Linked DNA regions of Sus scrofa. The protein of the gene in region 1 binds, or shares a complex with, the protein of each later gene. Links are inferred from orthologs where the notes say so. Each region holds a gene or a part of one and is shown on either strand. Other genes may lie near its edges. The genes, in order: PTPN3 and MAPK12.

Region 1 (8,811 bases):
GTTCTGTCGCCAGCATGACAAGTGCCTCTTCACGGGCTCTCAGTGAGAGCTGTGAAGTCCTCAGGGTCTTGGTAATTTTCTGGGGTGTAAGAACCAGTGGTATGAAAAGCATCACACGGGAAATCCTGCCACTTTAACTTTCCTTAACCTTGCTTTTCTTCAGAGAAATGAGCTGTGCCCTGGCTTATGTTCCCAGTGCCCACCCCCCTTACAGGGATCTGAGGACGTGCATCTGTCTGCCGGTCCGTCAGTCTGTCTCTTTTCCCCCATCCCCTCTCAGGGGCAGACCACTTGCTTCTGTTCCCTCCTTCTCCCCTTTTCTTCACTCTGCACAGTTACCCCCCTCCACCAGGGACCCTGGGGGTGCCCCCCCTCCTCACCCACCAGGCTCTCCCTCAGTCATGCCTCACGTCCCACCCCAAGGGCCCCAAGGCAGGAGGAAGGCCACCTGGTTTGCCATCTTCACTCCCGGCATCCCTGAGCTGTGTCCAGCTGCCACCTTCTCCTTGCTTCTTGTCATTTGATGTCCTCCTCAGCATCTGTCTGTCCATCCTCCACGCTGAGCAGAACGCTACTGCAGCCTACAGGGCACGTCTGGACATGGTTGATCAGCCAAAAAAATATTGTCATGTTTAATAAATTACCATCTAAAAGTAACCTCTCCACCCCTACATAGAATATAGGATTGGGCACATAATGACTGTGAATATGTGATTTTTAGTGCCGTGAGCTGTTTTGGATTGACCGTTACGTTTTATACTAAAAAAGAAAACTAAAACCTTATATGATGTTTAATTACATTATAATGCTGTATCATGTAATTCTAAATTCAGGATTTAGAAATTAAGTAAATATAATGCATACAAAAATATATTGCAGTTTACTGAAAAGTTTGTCCTCTTCTGCTTTGTCACCTTGCTCTTCTGTTTACAGATCTTCACTCTTTCCGTGGCTCCCGTCTCCAGATTCTTCCAAATGTTTGAAGTATGAATGCTATTTGCAGCTTCAGGTTAAAGGCTCAGATCCACCTCTAGTGCTAGAAATAGCATTTCCTAAACCCCTTTGGCTTTATCTTGTTTAGCAACTGCCACGTTTCCCTTTATGCCACTGGGAGGCGCTCTTGTAAACATCAAAACAGCAAAGCTGCTCTTCTTGGGGAGACTTTTTTAAGCTTCGTTTTAGTAAATTAAAGTCTTATTTAGACTAGTATATAGCTTCCATTCCAAAATGTAATGCCTTCTGTAATGTAATGCCCTCTGTAATGCCTTCCCATACATAACACCCCTTGACTGGTAACTTGAAAACCTTAAGGCCAATCTCTTCTCTTGCAAGAAGTGCTCTGTTTCTACACTGGTCTGTCACTGAATGTTTGTATTCAAATGAATGGAGCTTGTGAATCATTCTGTGTGACTATGATATGGGTTTTACATCTAAAGTAAGCTAATTTTGGAGCTCCTTTCATGACGAACCCGACTAGGATCCATGAAGATGCAGGTTTCATCCCTGGCCTCGCTCAGTGGGTTAAGGATCCGACGTTGCCACGAGCTGTGGTGTAGGTCGCAGGCGCAGCTCGGATCCCAAGTTGTTGTGGCTGTGGCTGTGGCGTAGGCTGGCAGCTATAGCTCCAATTCAACCCCTAGCCTGGGAACCTCCATATGCTGCAAGTGTGGCCCTAAAAAGCAAAAAAAAAAAAAAAAAAAAAAAAAAGGTAAGCTAATTTGAACTTACTAAGAGACAGAGGAGCACTGTTTTAATGAACACTCCATGGATAAGGACCTGAAATAAAGGTTTGTCTTTTCTCTGTTTGTTTCACTGAATGTCTTGTCTACTTACCTTTCCTATCACTTAACCTTGAATGAGATGAGAATGTGGAGGAGTCTATGGAACTCAAGGCCAGCCCTTATTCTGTAGGCGGTTTAAGGCATCTTTTGTGAGGCCCGTGGCTCTGGAGGGGGTCCAGCGTGGGTGTGCGTGATGCAGAGAAGCTGCGTGTCCTGTACGGTTAGGTCCTGTGAGGTTAGAAAAAAGGGTCTTAGGAGCAGATGTGGATGGCCTGGAGAGGAGAGGGGTCCTCGGGGACTCATGGTCTTCAGACTTCTGTTTGTCAGGTGAGGGGAAAGCCGTGTGACCTTGGGCAAGTCACTCGGCATCTCTCTCTCTTTTTTTTTTTTTTTTTTTTTTTTTTTGGCTTTTTAGGGCCACACCCACGGCACATGGAAGGTCCCAGGCTAGGGTTCGAATCAGAGCTATAACCACTGGCCTACGCCACAGCCACAGCAGCACCAGATCTGAGCCGCGTCTGTGACCTACACGGCAACGCCGGATCCTTAACCCACTGAGCGAGGCCAGGGATCAAACCTGCAACCTCATGGTTCCTAGTCAGATTTGTTTCCCCTGCACCACAAGGGGAACTCCCCCACTCGGTGCCTCTTGACCAATTTCTCCATCTGCGAAATGGGAGCTGGACCAGATGACCACAGAGGTCTGTTCAGTTCTAATAGTCCATAATTCTTGAAGACAACACCACCCAGTAGAACTTCCTGCAATGATGGACGTGTTCTCTAACTGCGCTGTTAGGCGTTCTTGTTGTGGTGCAGTGGAAATGAATCTGAGTAGTATCCATGAGGATGCAGCTTCGATCCCTGACCTCACCAGTGGGTCAGGGACCTGGTGTTACTGTGAGCTGTGGTGCAGGTCACACACTGGCTCAGATCTGGTGTGGCTGTGGCTGTGGCTGTGGCTGGCACCTATGGCTCTGCTTTAACCCCTAGCCTGGGAACTTCCATATGCCACAAGGAAAAAGCTTTTAGAGGGCATGGAGCAACATGCATCTAAATGAGTTTCAAAAATTAACCACCAGGGGGTTCCCATCGTGGCACAGTGGAAACGAATCCGACTAGGAACCGTGAGGTTGAGGGTTCAATTCCTGGCCTTGCTTAGTGGGTTAAGGATCTGGCGTTGCCGTGAGCTGTGGTTGTAGGTCACAGACGCGTCTCTGATCTGGCGTTGTTGTGGCTCTGGCGTAGGCCAGCAGCAACAGCTCCAATTAGATCCCTAGCATGGGAACCTCCATATGCCACGGTTGCGGCCCTATGAAAACAAAAGACCAAAAAAAAAAAAAAAAAAAAAAAAATTAAGCACCAGACTAGCTGGGCATGTTTCCCCATGACCCTTCTGAGGCAGCTGAGTTTTCAGCAGTTCCTGGCACTGCCCTGCCCTCCTGCCCCCTTTCCCCCAAACTAACAGTGATGATATTTAGGCCAGATGGGGGCATGAGTAGCCCGTGGACTCTTGGTGTGCCCGAGCCCTGGACTTGACCGTTGCAGTGCTTCTAAGGTTCCAAGGATTGGTGACAGCCATGAGATGCTAGGACCCACAGTCAGAAATGTTTGCCCTGATAAAATAGTCATCCAGTTATTAATACATCCCTTCCTTCCCCACAACGAAGGAGCATATCCGAGAACAACGCAGCACACGGCTGCCTGACCCAGAAGTCATCCAGTTCTGCATCTCCATCTTCCAACGCTCCAGGCTCCTGCTCCCCGGATGGCGTCGATCAGCAGTTCTTAGAGGACTTCCACAGGGTGACTAAAGGCGGCTCCACTGAGGACTCCAGCCAGTACTACTGTGATAAGGTGTGCCAGCCGACCCCGCGGGCTTCCTGTGTGTGTGTGTGGGGGGGTGCCTCACGGGCCAGTGAGTGGTTGTGACTCCAAGAAAGTAGCTTCGAACCACCCACCGGAGAGGGAAATCACCTAATGGATGATTTTCCATCATTTTCCAGAACGACGGTGACGGCTACTTAGTCTTGATCCGCATCACGCCTGATGAAGAGGGGAAATTTGGATTTAATCTAAAGGTACGTTGTGTGTGATTTCAAAGAACGTTTTGTGCTCTGAAGCCCCCTCTAGGCGACGTTCTAACTTCTATCAGAAATGTACCACCCACCTCCTCAGGCTGCATGAGGAAATCGGCTCAGCCCTCAGAACTGGAGGCTCTTTATGTGGCCACGGCAGCTGCCTCCTATCAACTGCCTGGTCTGTGCTTGGTGTCTGCCGTGTACTTATTAAATCACCTTATTGAATTCTTCTATTAAGCGCAGAAGTTGGTGTGTTTAAGCCTATTTTAAAACCCACTAAGGCTCAGAGAGATGGGACCCCCTCAGCATTGCCAGGAGAGAGCCATGGTTCAAGTCCAGAGCCATCTCCCCCTTCTGTGTCTCTGCAAACTGTGGCCTGTGGACCAAGTCCCATCTGTTTTTATAAATAAAGTTTTATTAGAACACAGCCACACCCATTTACTCACAAATGGTTTATGACTCCCTTGGGACTTGGGTAGCAGAGTTGAGGAGATGTGACAGAGCCCTTTGTCCCTTTGCAGAAAATGTTTACCAGCCCCTCCTGAGAGCACAGTGAGGGCAGGTGGCCTTTGCTGCCCACCCCACAGCTGTCATCACACACTCTTTTCTGATACCGTAGCAGCCCTTCTGGCAACCCGTTCTCAGCAGTCAGAAGCCCTCACAGCTTGACACCTTTCTACAGCTTCTCTCTCCTCCCCTGAAGACTCCCTTTCCAGCAGCACTTAGAAGCTTTGCTCTCGGAGTCCTTCTCCCGGGGATATGTGCAGTTTTTGCAAGGAGCCTTGTTCTTCCAAGTACATCTTTAGTCGGGGGAAGGTGGGGATGGCAGTGGGAAGCTTCTGAGCAGCCTTCTGGCCAGTCCAGTAGACCAGGGGGTCAGAAACCATGTCATTCTGAAAGTCGCCAACCCCTGGGATTAGAATGGGTTAAGGTGAAGATTTGAGCCCTCCCTTGTGTTAGAGATATCTGCCTGTCTTTGTTGCTGTGAACGACCCAAGTGTTTTTTTTTTTTTTCTTTTTAATGTACATATTTACAGGGAGGAGTGGATCAAAAAATGCCTCTTGTGGTATCAAGGATAAACCCAGAGTCACCTGTAAGTAAATGTGTTCCATTATTTCCCAAGTTTGCTTTCCCCTAGATGTAAAAGATTTCCATTTTCTGTGTCCTGCTTCTTTCTTACCCGCAGCAGAGAGTGTGTGTAAGCTCACTCATGTAGATGGGAAGAAAGAATGGCACCCGTGTTTTCCAGCACCTTGCTGCTCAGGGTGGTCCCCGAAGCTGCAGCACTGTCACCTGAGAGCTCATTAGAAATGCAGACTCTCGGGCCCCACCCCCGACCTCCTGGACCAGAATCTGCATTTTTAACAAGATCTCCAGGTGATCAGTGTGCAGGTTAAAATGTAGAAGGCCCCTCAAGAGACGGAAACTGGAGCCTAGAGTTTGCTGTTCTGCTCGCTCTGAGTGGGCTCGTGGGTCATTCAGCCCTTGTGCCCCTTCCTGTGTCTGGGCCTCTAGGCAGCTAAGAGATAATTAGCCTTTTTTTTTTTTTTTTTTTTTTTTTTTTTTTTGTCTGCCTTTTCTAGGGCCACTCCTGTGACATATGGAGGTTCCCAGGCTAGGGGTCGAATCAGAGCTGCAGCCGCCGGCCTACGCCAGAGCCACAGCAACGCGGGATCCGAGCCACATCTGCAACCTACACCACAGCTCACGGTAACGCCGGATCCTTAACCCACTGAGCAAGGCCAGGGATTGAACCCGCAGCCTCATGGTTTCTAGTCAGATTCGTTAACCACTGCGCCACGACAGGAACTCCTGATTGGCCTTTTTAAAGCAGTGAGCACCAGAGAGACCCCATGCTTCCTAAGAAGGTACCCGTTTGAAGGTTTTACTCTTAAGTAGCCTTTAAGCTTGTGGTCGACTTTTTCCTAACTGCGTGTGGCCTCTGCGTGTTAAGAAGGCTTTTATTCCCACACGGTTCAGAGCATCACTTCTCTCCATAATGGTTTCTGCCCTTGGGGTTGTGCTTGCAAAGGCTTTCTCCATCACCAGGTAGAAAATTGTCATGTTCAGCCGACAGATCATTTTCTAACAGCACATCTAGAAAACGAAGGATGGAGGCCTCGTTGCCGTTATGACATTACAGTAGTAAGTGCAGACTGGCTACCGTAGAGAAATGACCTCCGTCTTTTTCTTAGCCTTATTCTGCCGTGGTTCATAACTGAGGTCCTTCTTTAAAACCCCACAACCAGCTACCATGTCAACACAGCAGTGGCTGTAAGAATAAAGAAGGGAATGCCTGAGGGAGAGAAGGAGCACTTGGTCACGGTCCCAAGTGTCCGGGCTCAGAAAGCATCGGGTTCATCCCCTGAGGCGTGCGTTATGGTAACGGAAGAAACTCGCCTCTCTCTTTCCCCGCACGCAGGCGGACACCTGCATTCCTAAGCTGAACGAAGGGGATCAAATCGTGCTGATCAACGGCCGGGACATCTCCGAACACACCCATGACCAAGTGGTGATGTTCATCAAAGCCAGCCGGGAGTCACACACGCGGGAGCTGGTCCTGGTGATCCGGAGGAAAGGTAAGGGCCACCCACGGAGAGGCGCCTTAGCGAAGAGGGCCTTCTCCCGCCCCTTCCGAGGTGTTGAGATGTTGAGCTCGTAGCCAACATCGGACAAGCCAGACCTTTCCCATGACAACCTGCTGGCTGACTTTTCACTTGAAAAATGTGGAGACCTGCCCACCCAACACCCTACCCCTCATGGCCAGTGCTCGGCAAGTAGGCAGCACCCACCCCCTTTTATACAGGGCACGAGCCCCGCGTTCCTCCCAGCCGGACTCAGCCCACATCGTGCACCCCGCTTAGCTGCCTGGCCCCGTCTGCCTTTGCATAATCATCCCCATCTCAGCAGATCAGGTTATATTTTATTCATGTGCATTTGGTTTTGTTGGAGAGACAGTAAGCTGAGTAGGGCAGGAGGCTGACTGCCTTGGGGCTGTTCTAACCCTGCCTCCTACTGGGCCCAGGGACCTTGCCCAGTAGGAGTTTCTTGCCCAGTCTGTCTCCGTTTCCACTAAAGTAAAATGAGGATAACACAGTTGCTGCCTCTGGATTCCTGTGAAGATTCAGTAATACTCATACTGAAAAGCAACAAGGACGCTGCCCCGTACTTGGTGGGCATTTGAAGGGCAGCCTCTGTTGAATACTATTACTGTTGTTGTGGTGGTGGTGGTTGTTATAAAGCAGTTAGCCTTGGATCCTCCTGCCCGGCTTCAAATACTGAAGGTAAATGAAGTATGTGGCTCAAGCCCTGGCCCTGCATCCCTGTTGTGGCCTCACTGCCTTCTCTGTTCCCGGTGATGCTCCCAGTGCCAGCTCTCACCCCACCTCCTCCGTGAGGGCCCCACCTGATCTCTCCAAAACCCTTCCCACCTCGTCTCACCCCATCCCCTCCAAACCCAGCTCCATGCTGGGCACACAGTAGGTATCACTCGTGACAGTGGCTGATGTCTCTGCAGCACCAGCAGAGGGCCTACACCATGTCAATTGCTTTACTAATTATCCCATTCAATTCTTAAAATGTTCTCGTAGGTTAGTGTTATTATCTCTAAATGGGAACAGCAGTCACGGAGAGGTTAAGTTGCCCTGCTGCCATGTGTCTGGTGAGGCCCCATGATAATAGGGACGGAAGGAATCCAGCAGTTGGGAGCAGACCTCTCTATCACATGCAGTGCCCTGTGACCCGCTGGCCAAATCTGGGGTTCTTCCCAGGAGCACCCTGGCCAAGCCAGGGAGGGGGCCCACCACCAGCCCATGGCAAGGGGCCAGTGTCTGTAGCAGAAACTAATGGAGCCCCATTCGACCTTACAGAAGAAGAATCAGAACTTGTATCAGGCTTTAATGTATAATACGCTTTGAGGTGAGAAAAACAGATACTTGTAGACTAGTAGAGCCTAAAGGGAAGTGCATAAAAGGTTTCCTGTAACTGTAATGAAAGTAAGTTCTTTTTTTTTTTTTTTTTTTGTCTTTTTAGGGCCACACCTGCAGCATATGGAAGTTCCCAGGCTAGAGGTCAAATTGGAGCTGAAGCTGCCAGCCTATGCCACAGCCACACCAGATCCAAACCATGTCTGTAACCTACACCATAGCTCACAGAAACGCTGGATCCTTAACCCACTGAGCAAGGCCAGGGATCAAACCCTCATCCTCATGGATGTGAGTCGGGTTTGTTACTCCTGAGCCACGGGATGGGAACTCCAGTGAGTTCATTTTAAAAATAAACATTTAAGTAAAAAATGATTGAAAGAAAAATAAGTAAATAGTAACGGGACGGGGCGGGGGAGCACATATGACAAAACCCACAAAAATAAGTAGAAGAACTGAGCTTCTTTGGTCAGTGAAAAGAATGTGGTCTTTCGGGTCAGCCAGATGTGGACTTAAAACTCTTGCCCTTTGAATCAGTTTCCTCATCTGCAAGATGGGAATAATGACACCTGCTTCAGTACTGTGAGGATTCAGTTCAACTCTGTGGGAAAACCCAAAGTTGTTGCCTCCTTCTTTCCTGTTATCTTGAAGGCAGTAGGGAGCCATTGAAGGCTATTGCGAAAGGGAGTGACTTCTGTTTCTGGGTAGAAAGGGAAAAATTCAGAGATGAGCTCAAAGTCTTCCCTTTAAGAGAGTGGAGAAGGAAGTGACATAGACAGAAAGAAGCATATGAGGCCGGGACGTATTGTGCATGGTGGGGAAGGAAGGGCCCTTGGCCTTTTTTTTTTTTAACCCATATTGAGTCTGCATGAAGGGAGAATTTGTTCCAAAGAGGAAACACAGACTAGAGATGTTTATCTGGGCGGCCTCCCTCCTAACAGTGGCCTGAGTTAGAGACACCACCTGAGCTCTGTGGGACAGTGGCAGTGTGGAGAGAGCACCAGACCCCACACCAGTTTCTGGGAAAA
Region 2 (9,387 bases), on another chromosome or scaffold:
AGGAGCATCTTCCGTGGCGCCAACCCCCTGGGTGAGCGTGGGCCCTGGGGCATGGGCTGCACGTCTCGCCCGGACGTGGCGCTGACCCCCCGGGCCACCCCGCAGCTGTGGACCTCCTGGGAAGGATGCTGGTGCTGGACAGTGACCAGAGGGTCAGCGCGGCCGAGGCCCTGTCGCACGCCTACTTCAGCCAGTACCACGACCCGGAGGATGAGCCGGAAGCAGAGCCCTACGATGAGAGCATCGAGGCCAAGGAGCGCACGGCGGAGGAGTGGAAGGGTGGGTGGGGGTGGGGCCGTGGGCCCCTTGGGCCGGGCGCTGCCTGTTTTCTGCACAGAGTGCTCCAGTTCCTCTGGAGAGTGGTCTGGGTGGGTGACAAGGTGCCCCCGCCCCACTCCAGGGGTCTGGTGTGTCCATCGGAGGCTCAGAGGCAACGCAAGGCAGGCCCAGGAAGGAGCCCAAGCGCCTGGGCTGCTGGGGGCCTGAACTCACCCTTCCGCTCCCCCCGCAGAGCTCACCTACCAGGAGGTCCTCAGCTTCAAGCCCCCGGAGCCACCGCGGCCACCTGGCAGCCTGGAGGTTGAGCAGTGAGGCGACCTCAAGGCAGGGCCTGAGCCGGCCTGCCCCCTCCCTCAGCCTGCCTCCCAGGACCCCTTGTCTATGCGACACTCCTTGGGGCAAGTTTGCACGCTTGGATGCTCATGTGTGAGCCACCGACGTGGGAGTCTGGGCAGAGCTGTCAGGACTTCCTTGGTCCCCGACCCGCTCCCAGCAACCTGAGTCTCCCTCGGGACCTCACTGTGGGGGACCTGGGTGCCCTAGCACCCCCCGGGGATGGTGTCTGTTTCCAGTCTCCTGAGCCGAAGAGGGCTGTCGCATGGTCGGCGGGGCGGGGGGGGTGGTGCTTTGGGGCCCAGCCTCCTGGAGACAAAAGTCTGGGTGGTCAGAGCCGCTCAGCGGGAAGGGGCTGCCCTGCAAAGTGCTGAGCCGAATCTTCCCTGGGGGGCAGGTGGGGACAGCTGCCTGGAGCCATGTGTTCACCTGTGCTATCTTGGGCACACCTGGGATTCACATGTCAAAGCAGATGCAGGCATGTGTGGACCTGAGGGCATCCAAAGGCCAGCGACCATGACCAGCAGGAGGCCCAAGTTGGGGCGGCAGTGGCAGTGGCTCACTATTGCCCACCCCCCCAGGTCCTGGGGTGGGAGCCGTGCTGCCGGCCAGGGGCGAGGTGACCAGGGTCAGCCATGTGAGCAAAAGGATCCTGTCTCCTTGGGCATGGGATCTGCAGCAGGTTCCAGAGGCCCGAGGGCACCATGCCAGCTGGGGGGCTGGCAGGCCTGGGGGCTCCAGCATGGAGGACCCACACTCTGGTATGGACTCGGATCCTGGCCCCTGGCCCAGAGCTCCTGAAGAAAACCTCTGCCCGCTCTACGTCTGCAGGGCAGCCCTGTCTTGCCCCTCCAGGGTGCAGCTGACCTCCAGCCTCTGCTCGAAATGCACTGGGGGTGCAGGTCCTCCCTCAAGGGGCTTCTCTGTCAGGCGGGCTGGGGGGTGACCCCTGGCCTTGCGGGATCAGGGAGATCTGAATGTCAAGTGCCTGCCCCAGGGTTTCACAATAAAAGGGGTCCTCTCTCGCTCAGCTTGTGTCTTGGGCTCCAGGGCCTGCTGCCCGCTGTCCCCACGGCCTGGAGGGATGGCCCCATTCTTCCAGTCCTTGGACAGACAAGCAGCGGTCTCAGCATCTTCCCTGCTCGCTGAGAGTGAGGGATGCTGTCTGTCCTGCCGGGGTTTACTGCACGGGCTCTGGTCCAGATCCAGACCTGCCCCCTCACCCAGTGGTCAGGGAAGACGTGGGGGGCAGCGGGGGTCTCTGAGAGCAAAGGCCTGCCCCTCCCAGGGCCAGGGAGATGGCGGGCTGCTTCAGCCCACAGGCACACCCCCAGGGGGAATCAGGCAGGGTATCCGCAGGACAGGGACAGCCTATGTCTCTGCCTAGGCCTTGGGGTGCAGACCACTGGGGAGGTGGGCCTCCAGAGGCCTGGGTGGTGCGGGTACTGGGCTTCTGGTCCTGGAAAACCCCTGGAGACCAGGCTGGGTCCAGTCCTGGGCGGGGGGCCGGGGGCGAACAGGAGCAGAACTGGGACATGCCTCACCGGGGAGTCTGGTCTGACGCAGAAACCTCTGGACTGCTGGGGGCTTCCTGGAGGAGGCAGGCAGAGTGCCACAGGCAGCCCAGGGCATGAAGCACCTGGGGAGAGGCGGTGGTGGCTCCAGTGACCCCAGGCTGCTCCCACTGACCAGCCGGCCACTCCAGAGCGCCCAGATGCCCTCGGCAGCCCAGGTGTAAAGCTGCTCTGGCCAGGCCTGAGCTGCTCAGCTGCTGATTCATGGTGCAGGGCACAGAGGGCGGGGCAGGGGGCCCTGGGGATCTTCTTACCCCACTCTCTCTCCCGCCTGGGTCACTGGGCTAGGGCAGGACAAGGAAAGGACTGGGGGCTCTGTCCTCCAGGAGCAGCGGGTCAAGGAGGGGCCAAACCCATGAAATGATGAAGCCCCCACCTGGGGCGGGGCACTGAGAGGCCCCTTCACCCCTGGGGTCAGGCACACCTTCCTGGAGAGAGAGAGGAGGCTCCCGCTGGCCTTTGAACAAACCAGAGGGCCTAGGCTGGGCAGGGGCAGGACAGGCAGAGGGACTTGCAACTGTGTGACTTGGGAGATGGAACCGACTTTTTCCTAGGGAAAGGGGGAAGGGGGAAGGCAGGTGCTGGGGACGGCGGAGCTGGGGCCGACCAGGCGGCGCGCTGGGGGGTGGACAGTGATCGGGGATGGGCTGGGCTGGAGGTTGCCCAGCTCCGGCGGGCCGCCCGCCGTGGGCCAGCGCCCCGGGGCGGTGCTTGCAGGCGGGAGACGCGGCCCCTGTTAAGATGCCTCCTCTCTGGAGGTCTGCGGGCTTCATCGCAAGGGCAGGGGCGGGCGCCGGGGGCTGGGCCGAGCCGGGGCGGCGGGCGCCGCTCCCCGTCCCCTCCGTCCCCTCCCCCGGCTCCGGCTCCGGCCTCCGGCGGGGCGGGCGGGCGGGCGGGCGGCCGCCTCAGGTTTCCGGAGGGGCCGGAGGGCGGGCGCGGCGTCACGTGCGCGCGGCCCCGGGGCCGGTTGGTGCGCCGGCCGGGGAGGGGCCGCGCTGTGCCCGGGCCGGGGTCGGCGGCTCCGGAGAGCTCGGAGGCAAGAGCCGGGAGCGGGGGAGCCCCGGCGGCGACGGGCGGCGCGGCGCGGCGCCGGCTCTGCCCCGCGCCGCGGCCAGGGGCGCGCGCCAGGGTGCCCCGCGGAACCCGGGCCCCGGGTCCTCGGGGCGCGGGGTCTGCGGCGGGGCGGTGCCCGGCCAGCCATGAGCGCCCCGGCGGCCGCCCGCAAGGGCTTTTACCGCCAGGAGGTGACCAAGACGGCCTGGGAGGTGCGCGTCGTGTACCAGGACCTGCAGCCCGTGGGCTCGGGCGCCTACGGCGCCGTGTGGTGAGCGCAGGCCGGGCGGGGGCCGGGCGGCGAGGCCGGCCCTCCCGCTAAGCGGTGCGTCCCGCAGCTCGGCGGTGGACACCCGCACCGGGGCCAAGGTGGCCATCAAGAAGCTGTACCGGCCCTTCCAGTCCGAGCTGTTCGCCAAGCGCGCCTACCGCGAGCTGCGCCTGCTCAAGCACATGCGCCACGACAACGTGAGTCGCGCGGTCGCCTCGGCTCCCCGCCCCCCCCCCCCGCCCCCGCGCCCGCGCCCGCCTGGCCCGCAGCCCCTCGGCGGCGGCGAGGCCCTGGAGAGGACTCCGGTCTGGTCTTTGGCTCCTTCCCGAGGCCACATCCGGCTCGTCCGCCCGGCCCAGGCCCCGGTCAGGGGACGACGTCCTCTTGCCCGGGGGCTCACTCCAGGTCCCGCCTCCAAGCAGGATCCCCGAGGCGAGAGGCGACCTCAGGTGGGGGGCGAGTCTCTGGAAGGGGCACCGTGTCTCTTCTGGGCACCCCTTCCTGAACCCGCTGTGCTCCCTCTACCTCCTGAGCCCCAGCCCTGGGAGCCCCGAGGGGGCCTGTGTGGGCCTTGGGGAGCTGGTGTGCGAAGGACACGGGGCACACGCCTTCCTCACGTCCAGCGGCGTGCATTTCACAGCCCTTGGGGTAGGGGCTGGACCCAGCCTCCGGCAGGGAAAAGTCTGTTGCGTCCGGAACTGCCTCAAGCCTCTCCTGGGAACGCTGCTGGCTGCTAAGAGCCCTTCCCTCTGCTGGGGGTGCTCCTGCTGTTTGCCTGTGGCCTTGAGCTCTGTCCCCTCCCACACAAGCCACCCCTGCCCAGTCTGAGGGCTGGTGATCTGGGCGCCCAGACCCCGACTGATCGTGGTGGTCTGGCACCTCCTGGCTCATCAGAACCACGAGAATGAGCCTCCGTGTCCACCAGGAAACTCACCCCTTGGCTCCTGACCAACGCCCACCTCTCAGCCCCTCGCAGAGAGGGTCCTTCTTTCTCTCAGACTCCTCTACCCTTGACCCTTCCCGGGTGGCACCCATTCACCAGCCCAGCCGGGCCTTTACTGCCTCTGGGTCACATCTGGTCACACTCAGGCTTGTCCTCTCCCAGAGTCCTCACCCGGCTTCTCCCCACCACCTGCTGCTCCAGTGCCGTCTCCAGGCCTTCTGTCCAGTTACCTCCCGCCCCGATCTGTACCAGTGGGTCCTTCTCCCAGGGGAGCCCCTGACCCACAGCGCGGAGCGCTGCAACCTGCAGGGCTGTTCCAAGAGCTTCCTAAACCCAGTTCCTAGGAGGAGCTAGGCTCGGTGAGGCCGAGTGGCACACCCGCGTGAGCTCCTCCGTCCTCCCCCCCCCCCCGCCCCGCCCCGCCCCGCCCCAGGCCCCGTCTGCACCGCAGAGGCCTAGAGATCTCCATCAACCTGATGGATACCACCTGCCCCCCCCCGCCATTCCTGCCAAAGCCTCCTCCCAGGGCCCTCGGCTCACCTGCCTCCAGGCCCCTCTGGATGTGCCACTCTGTCCCCTCCACCCCGCCCACATCTCTGGCTCTGGTGTCCGCTTTGGTCATCTAGCTGTCCCTCCACCCCCATCCACCTTCACCTCACTCTGGTTTGTCCCCATATAGCAGCCAGGGGACACATTCAGCATCTCACCGTCCTCAGTGGCTCTTAGGATCAAAGCAAACCTTCCCTGGTGTTCGAGGGCCTGCTCGGGTTCCCTTCGGCTTCTCCTTGGCTACTCCTTGGCCTGGTCCTTGGCCACCTGGCCTCTCTCCCGTGTTCCTCAAACGCACCAAGCAATTTCCCTCCTGCCCCGGCCATCATTTGCCTGGCCTCTGCCAGGTGTCCCCCTGCCAGCACATCCACCTGCTCCTCCAGCCACTCTGATTCTCAGCCTCCCAGGGTCCCTGGAGGCCTTGTCACTGGAACCCCAGGTAGCAGTTGTCACATTACCTGTCTGCTGTCCATCACCCCTGGTCAGAGGGCTGTCGATGTGGCCACAGTGTTGCCTGCCTGGGCCTCTGGCAGAGGCGCAGCCTCTCGAAGGAACTCTCCCCTGAGAGGCTGTCCCCACAGTGGTCCTGGGTCTTCAGTGGGGACAGCAAGAGGGGGAGGAAGGGCCATGGGGCTGGCGCTCCTTGGATGGCCTGGGAGCTGACCCAGACTTGGGGCCGCCCCTCCCCTGGAGGATCCTGGCTGTCACCATCCCAAAATAGCCTTTGTCCATGGGCGTGTGTGCCAGGGCTGGGTTGAGCTGCTGGTGGGCAAGAGCCAGGCCCTGAATGGTGGGGGGAGACCAGGCCAGTTGCAGGAGGCTTTCCTGCCCAGAGCAGGCTGTGTCTGAGCCCCCGTGTCCCCGGCCAACCTGGTGCTCTGGCCTCCTCCCCAGGTGATTGGACTGCTGGACGTGTTCACGCCTGATGAGACCCTGGATGATTTTACAGACTTGTGAGTGCCGCCTGGGGCTGGCCCGGCAGAGCAGGTGGTGTTGGGTGGCTCCTGGGTGTCAGCTTCAGGTTGGGGGTTGGCAGGGGGGTGGCTGGAGGCAGTACCGCTAGGTACTGCCTGATGGACCTGGGCCTCCTCCTCCAGTGCCAGTGGTGCCAGCCTTGGACCTGAGGATCTGTTAGCTAGTCCCGTGCTCTAGCACCCTGGCACTAAGTGTGTGGCCTGTAATTGGAGCCATTGACCTTTGCTGGTGGCAGGGGAGGGGCGCCACAGGGCACCCAGCGCTGCCCTGCTCTGCTGAGCCTGCCCCGCGGCTGCCCAGGAGGCCACCCCTGGACTCACACTGTTGTCAGCCAAGAGCCAAGGGCCAGGCCTGGGAAGGCCTGGGAAGGACAAGGACGCACACTGGCCTCTGTGTCCTGGCGGGCCGTTGTGTGTCTCTCCCTGTCTCTCTCCCTCCACCTGTCCAGCCCCGCCTCTGACCTAGATGTCCTGCTGTCCCACCTGCCCTCGGGCGCTTCCCTTCTCTCTCTTGCGCCCTCCCCGCCACCCCCAGCAGGCGAGCTCCCTTCAGGAAACCCCGAAGCACGGCCGTGACCTGCTGGGCTGCGTGGGGCCAGCAGGATGGGGCCCCGTGCAGGCCTGTGGGAGCTGGAGGCCGGGTGCTGCAGGGCGACAGGGTCGCCCGGGCCTGGGCCCCCAGGCGTGACACCTGCCATCTCTACCTGCCCGGTCCCTGCAGTTACCTGGTGATGCCGTTCATGGGCACCGACCTGGGAAAGCTCATGAAGCACGAGAAGCTGAGTGACGACCGAATCCAGTTCCTTGTCTACCAGATGCTGAAGGGGCTGAAGGTGGGGGGCCGTCACAGGGGGTGGAGCCCCGGGGCTGGGCCGGGGCTCTGAGGTCCCCCTGAGCTCACTGCCGCTGCCCACTCTGTCCACACAGTACATCCATGCTGCTGGTGTCATCCACAGGGTGAGTCCTGGCCCTCGAGCTCAGGGGCCTCCTTTCTCACTGGACGGGGCACAAGGCCTGCACACAGCCCTGGGCCCCACGCCCCTGCACCTCAGCGGCCTGGATGCTCCCATGGTCGGGCGCGGCCCAGGCCCTCCCCTTTGCACCCTGGCGGGCGGGCGGGCGGGGGTGCTGCACAGCCGTCTTTTGTTCGCAGGACCTGAAGCCTGGCAACCTGGTGGTGAATGAGGACTGTGAACTGAAGGTGTGTGCCAACTGGGGGCTCGGGCCTCCCTCAACCTGCCCTGCTGCTTGCCGTGCCCTCAGCCCTTGGCCTGCAGGAGGCCTGGCACAGGCACTGGCAAGCAGTTGATGGGCAGATGGGCCCTGCGGGACCTTGCTGGTGGGGAATGTGTGCCCGGCTCCCTGGGCTTGAGCCAGGGCTGGGCTGAGGAGGCCTCCCCAGAGGTGGCGCCAGGCCCTGCAGGGTTAGCGGGGAGAGGAGGGCAGGGAAGGAGACCCCTCTGGGGTGCCTGGTCTAGGATTTGGGGTGACTGGCTGTGGGGAGGCACCGAAGGGGAGGCTTAGGGGTACGTGGCTGTGACCTCAGAGCCCAGAGGGTGTCCTGGAGACCCTGGTGTGCCCAGTCCTCTTCGGGTCTCCTGGGCCGCAAGCTGCCCTCGCCCCCCCACCCCTGGTGCCCCACCTTCCCGATTCTGCCCATAGATCCTGGACTTCGGCCTGGCCAGACAGGCCGACAGCGAGATGACTGGGTATGTGGTGACGCGCTGGTACCGGGCACCTGAGGTCATCTTGAATTGGATGCGCTACACGCAGACGGGTGAGGAACGCCGGAGGCTCAGGGCCTCCCCGCCCCAGCCTCCAAGCCGCCCTGCCTGCGCCCCTGCTGTTGGGGGCCTGCCGAGCTGGGCTGCGGCGGGCGGGGCCGGGCGGGCTGATGGCACCTGTGGCCGCGCCCCCTCCACTGCACCCACTCCCGCGTCTGTCTCCGCCCCCCCCCCCCCGCCGTCTGTGTGTGCCCCCCTCCCCAGCCCACCGAGCCCTGATGCAGGGGCTTTTGTCCCAGTGGACATCTGGTCAGTGGGCTGCATCATGGCCGAGATGATCACAGGAAAGACGCTCTTCAGAGGCAGCGACCGTATCCTCCACCTGGAGCCAGGCGGGGCTCCCCTCCTCCTGGGGGGCGGGGGGCGGGGCTCCCCTCCTCCTGGGGGGCGGGGGCGGGGCTCCCCTCCTCCTGGGGGGGCGGGGGCCGGGACTCCCCTCCTCCTGGGGGGGCGGGGGCCGGGACTCCCCTCCTCCTGGGGGGGCGGGGGCCGGGGCTCCCCTCCACCAGCTCCGCACTCTGGTCCCACGCTGTGCTCCTGACCTCAGCCGAGACCTGGACCAGCTGAAGGAGATCATGAAGGTGACGGGGACGCCCCCCGAGGAGTTCGTGCAGAGGCTGCAGAGTGCGGATGTCAGTGGGCAGCGGGCCGTGGGCTGGAGGCCTGGGCCTGGGCCGCGGGGCCGGCCCCTCACCCTCGCTTCCCACACAGGCCAAGAATTACATGAAGGGTCTCCCTGAGCTGGAGAAAAAGGATTTTGCCTCCGTCCTGACCAACGCAAGCCCTCTGGGTAGGGTGGGGCTGGCGTGGGCATGGGGTCCATGACCTGGTGCGGGGACCCGGGACGCTCCCCTCAGCCAGGCCTGACCCACCCTTCCCCCAGCGGTGAACCTCCTGGAGAAAATGCTGGTGCTGGATGCAGAGCGGCGGGTGACGGCGGCCGAGGCGTTGACCCACCCCTACTTCGAGTCGCTGCAGGACACGGAGGATGAGCCCAAGGCCCAGAAGTATGACGAGTCCTTTGATGACGTGGATCGCACGCTGGACGAGTGGAAGCGTGAGTGCAGGGCTCTGGGCAGGGTCCGCCGCTCGACCGCACAAGCCCCATGCAGGTGGCCGGGGTCCGGAGTCCTGGGTCCCCCCACCCTGGGCTTCAGGTTAGGTGAGGAACAGGGCAGAGGGCAGAGGAGCTGAAGGATGGAGTTCTTGTCGTGGCTCAGTGGTAACGAACCCAACTAGTATCCAGGATGATGCAGGTTCGATCCCTGGCCTCGCTCAGTGGGTTAAGGATCTGGCGTTGCCATGAGCGGTGGTGTAGGCCACAGGTTGCAAATGCAGCTCTGATTTGACCCCTGGCCTGGGAACTTCCCTATGCTGCGGGTGCAGCCCTGAAAAGACCAAAACATAGAAGTAGCTGAAAGATGAAAGGGAGGGCATTCCCGGCAAAGGCTCTGCACAGAGAGGAGAGGGATTTTGGTTGGAACTCGCAGGGAGGTGGCTCCAGGCTCAGGACAGCCACGGGCACGGGGCTGCTCCCAGCCCCCGGACCTGCCAGCCTGCCCCCTGCCCTCTGGGCCAGAGACTGGGTCACCCTGGAGCCCCTTGGCACCCACTCCCCAGGCCTCAG

Evidence for each region.
Region 2: the proteins of PTPN3 (region 1) and MAPK12 are in contact, whole or in part, in a crystal structure (PDB 4QUM), measured with the Homo sapiens proteins. The link is inferred for Sus scrofa from reciprocal best matches to the Homo sapiens genes PTPN3 and MAPK12. Residues at the interface, in NP_002820.3 of Homo sapiens: Arg655, Leu671, Asn674, Arg675, Tyr676, Lys677, Asp678, Val679, Arg751, His812, Ser843, Ala844, Gly845, Ile846, Gly847, Arg848, Met883, Gln886, Thr887; in NP_002960.2 of Homo sapiens: Met182, Thr183, Gly184, Tyr185, Val186, Val187, Arg189.

Annotation. Positions count from the first base shown.
Region 1 is NC_010443.5:250,447,871-250,456,681, reverse strand, and holds part of PTPN3 (tyrosine-protein phosphatase non-receptor type 3), read left to right. Parts: intron 1-3,448; coding exon 3,449-3,635; intron 3,636-3,784; coding exon 3,785-3,859; intron 3,860-4,896; coding exon 4,897-4,953; intron 4,954-6,282; coding exon 6,283-6,439; intron 6,440-8,811.
Region 2 is NC_010447.5:426,462-435,848, forward strand, and holds the start of MAPK12 (mitogen-activated protein kinase 12), read left to right. Parts: upstream 1-3,173; 5' UTR 3,174-3,385; coding exon 3,386-3,510; intron 3,511-3,577; coding exon 3,578-3,707; intron 3,708-5,896; coding exon 5,897-5,955; intron 5,956-6,697; coding exon 6,698-6,809; intron 6,810-6,903; coding exon 6,904-6,933; intron 6,934-7,129; coding exon 7,130-7,177; intron 7,178-7,638; coding exon 7,639-7,753; intron 7,754-7,999; coding exon 8,000-8,071; intron 8,072-8,312; coding exon 8,313-8,392; intron 8,393-8,471; coding exon 8,472-8,550; intron 8,551-8,643; coding exon 8,644-8,817; intron 8,818-9,387. Other genes in the region: MAPK11 (mitogen-activated protein kinase 11), read left to right, coding at 106-279, 512-709. UniProt on the Homo sapiens protein: Serine/threonine kinase which acts as an essential component of the MAP kinase signal transduction pathway.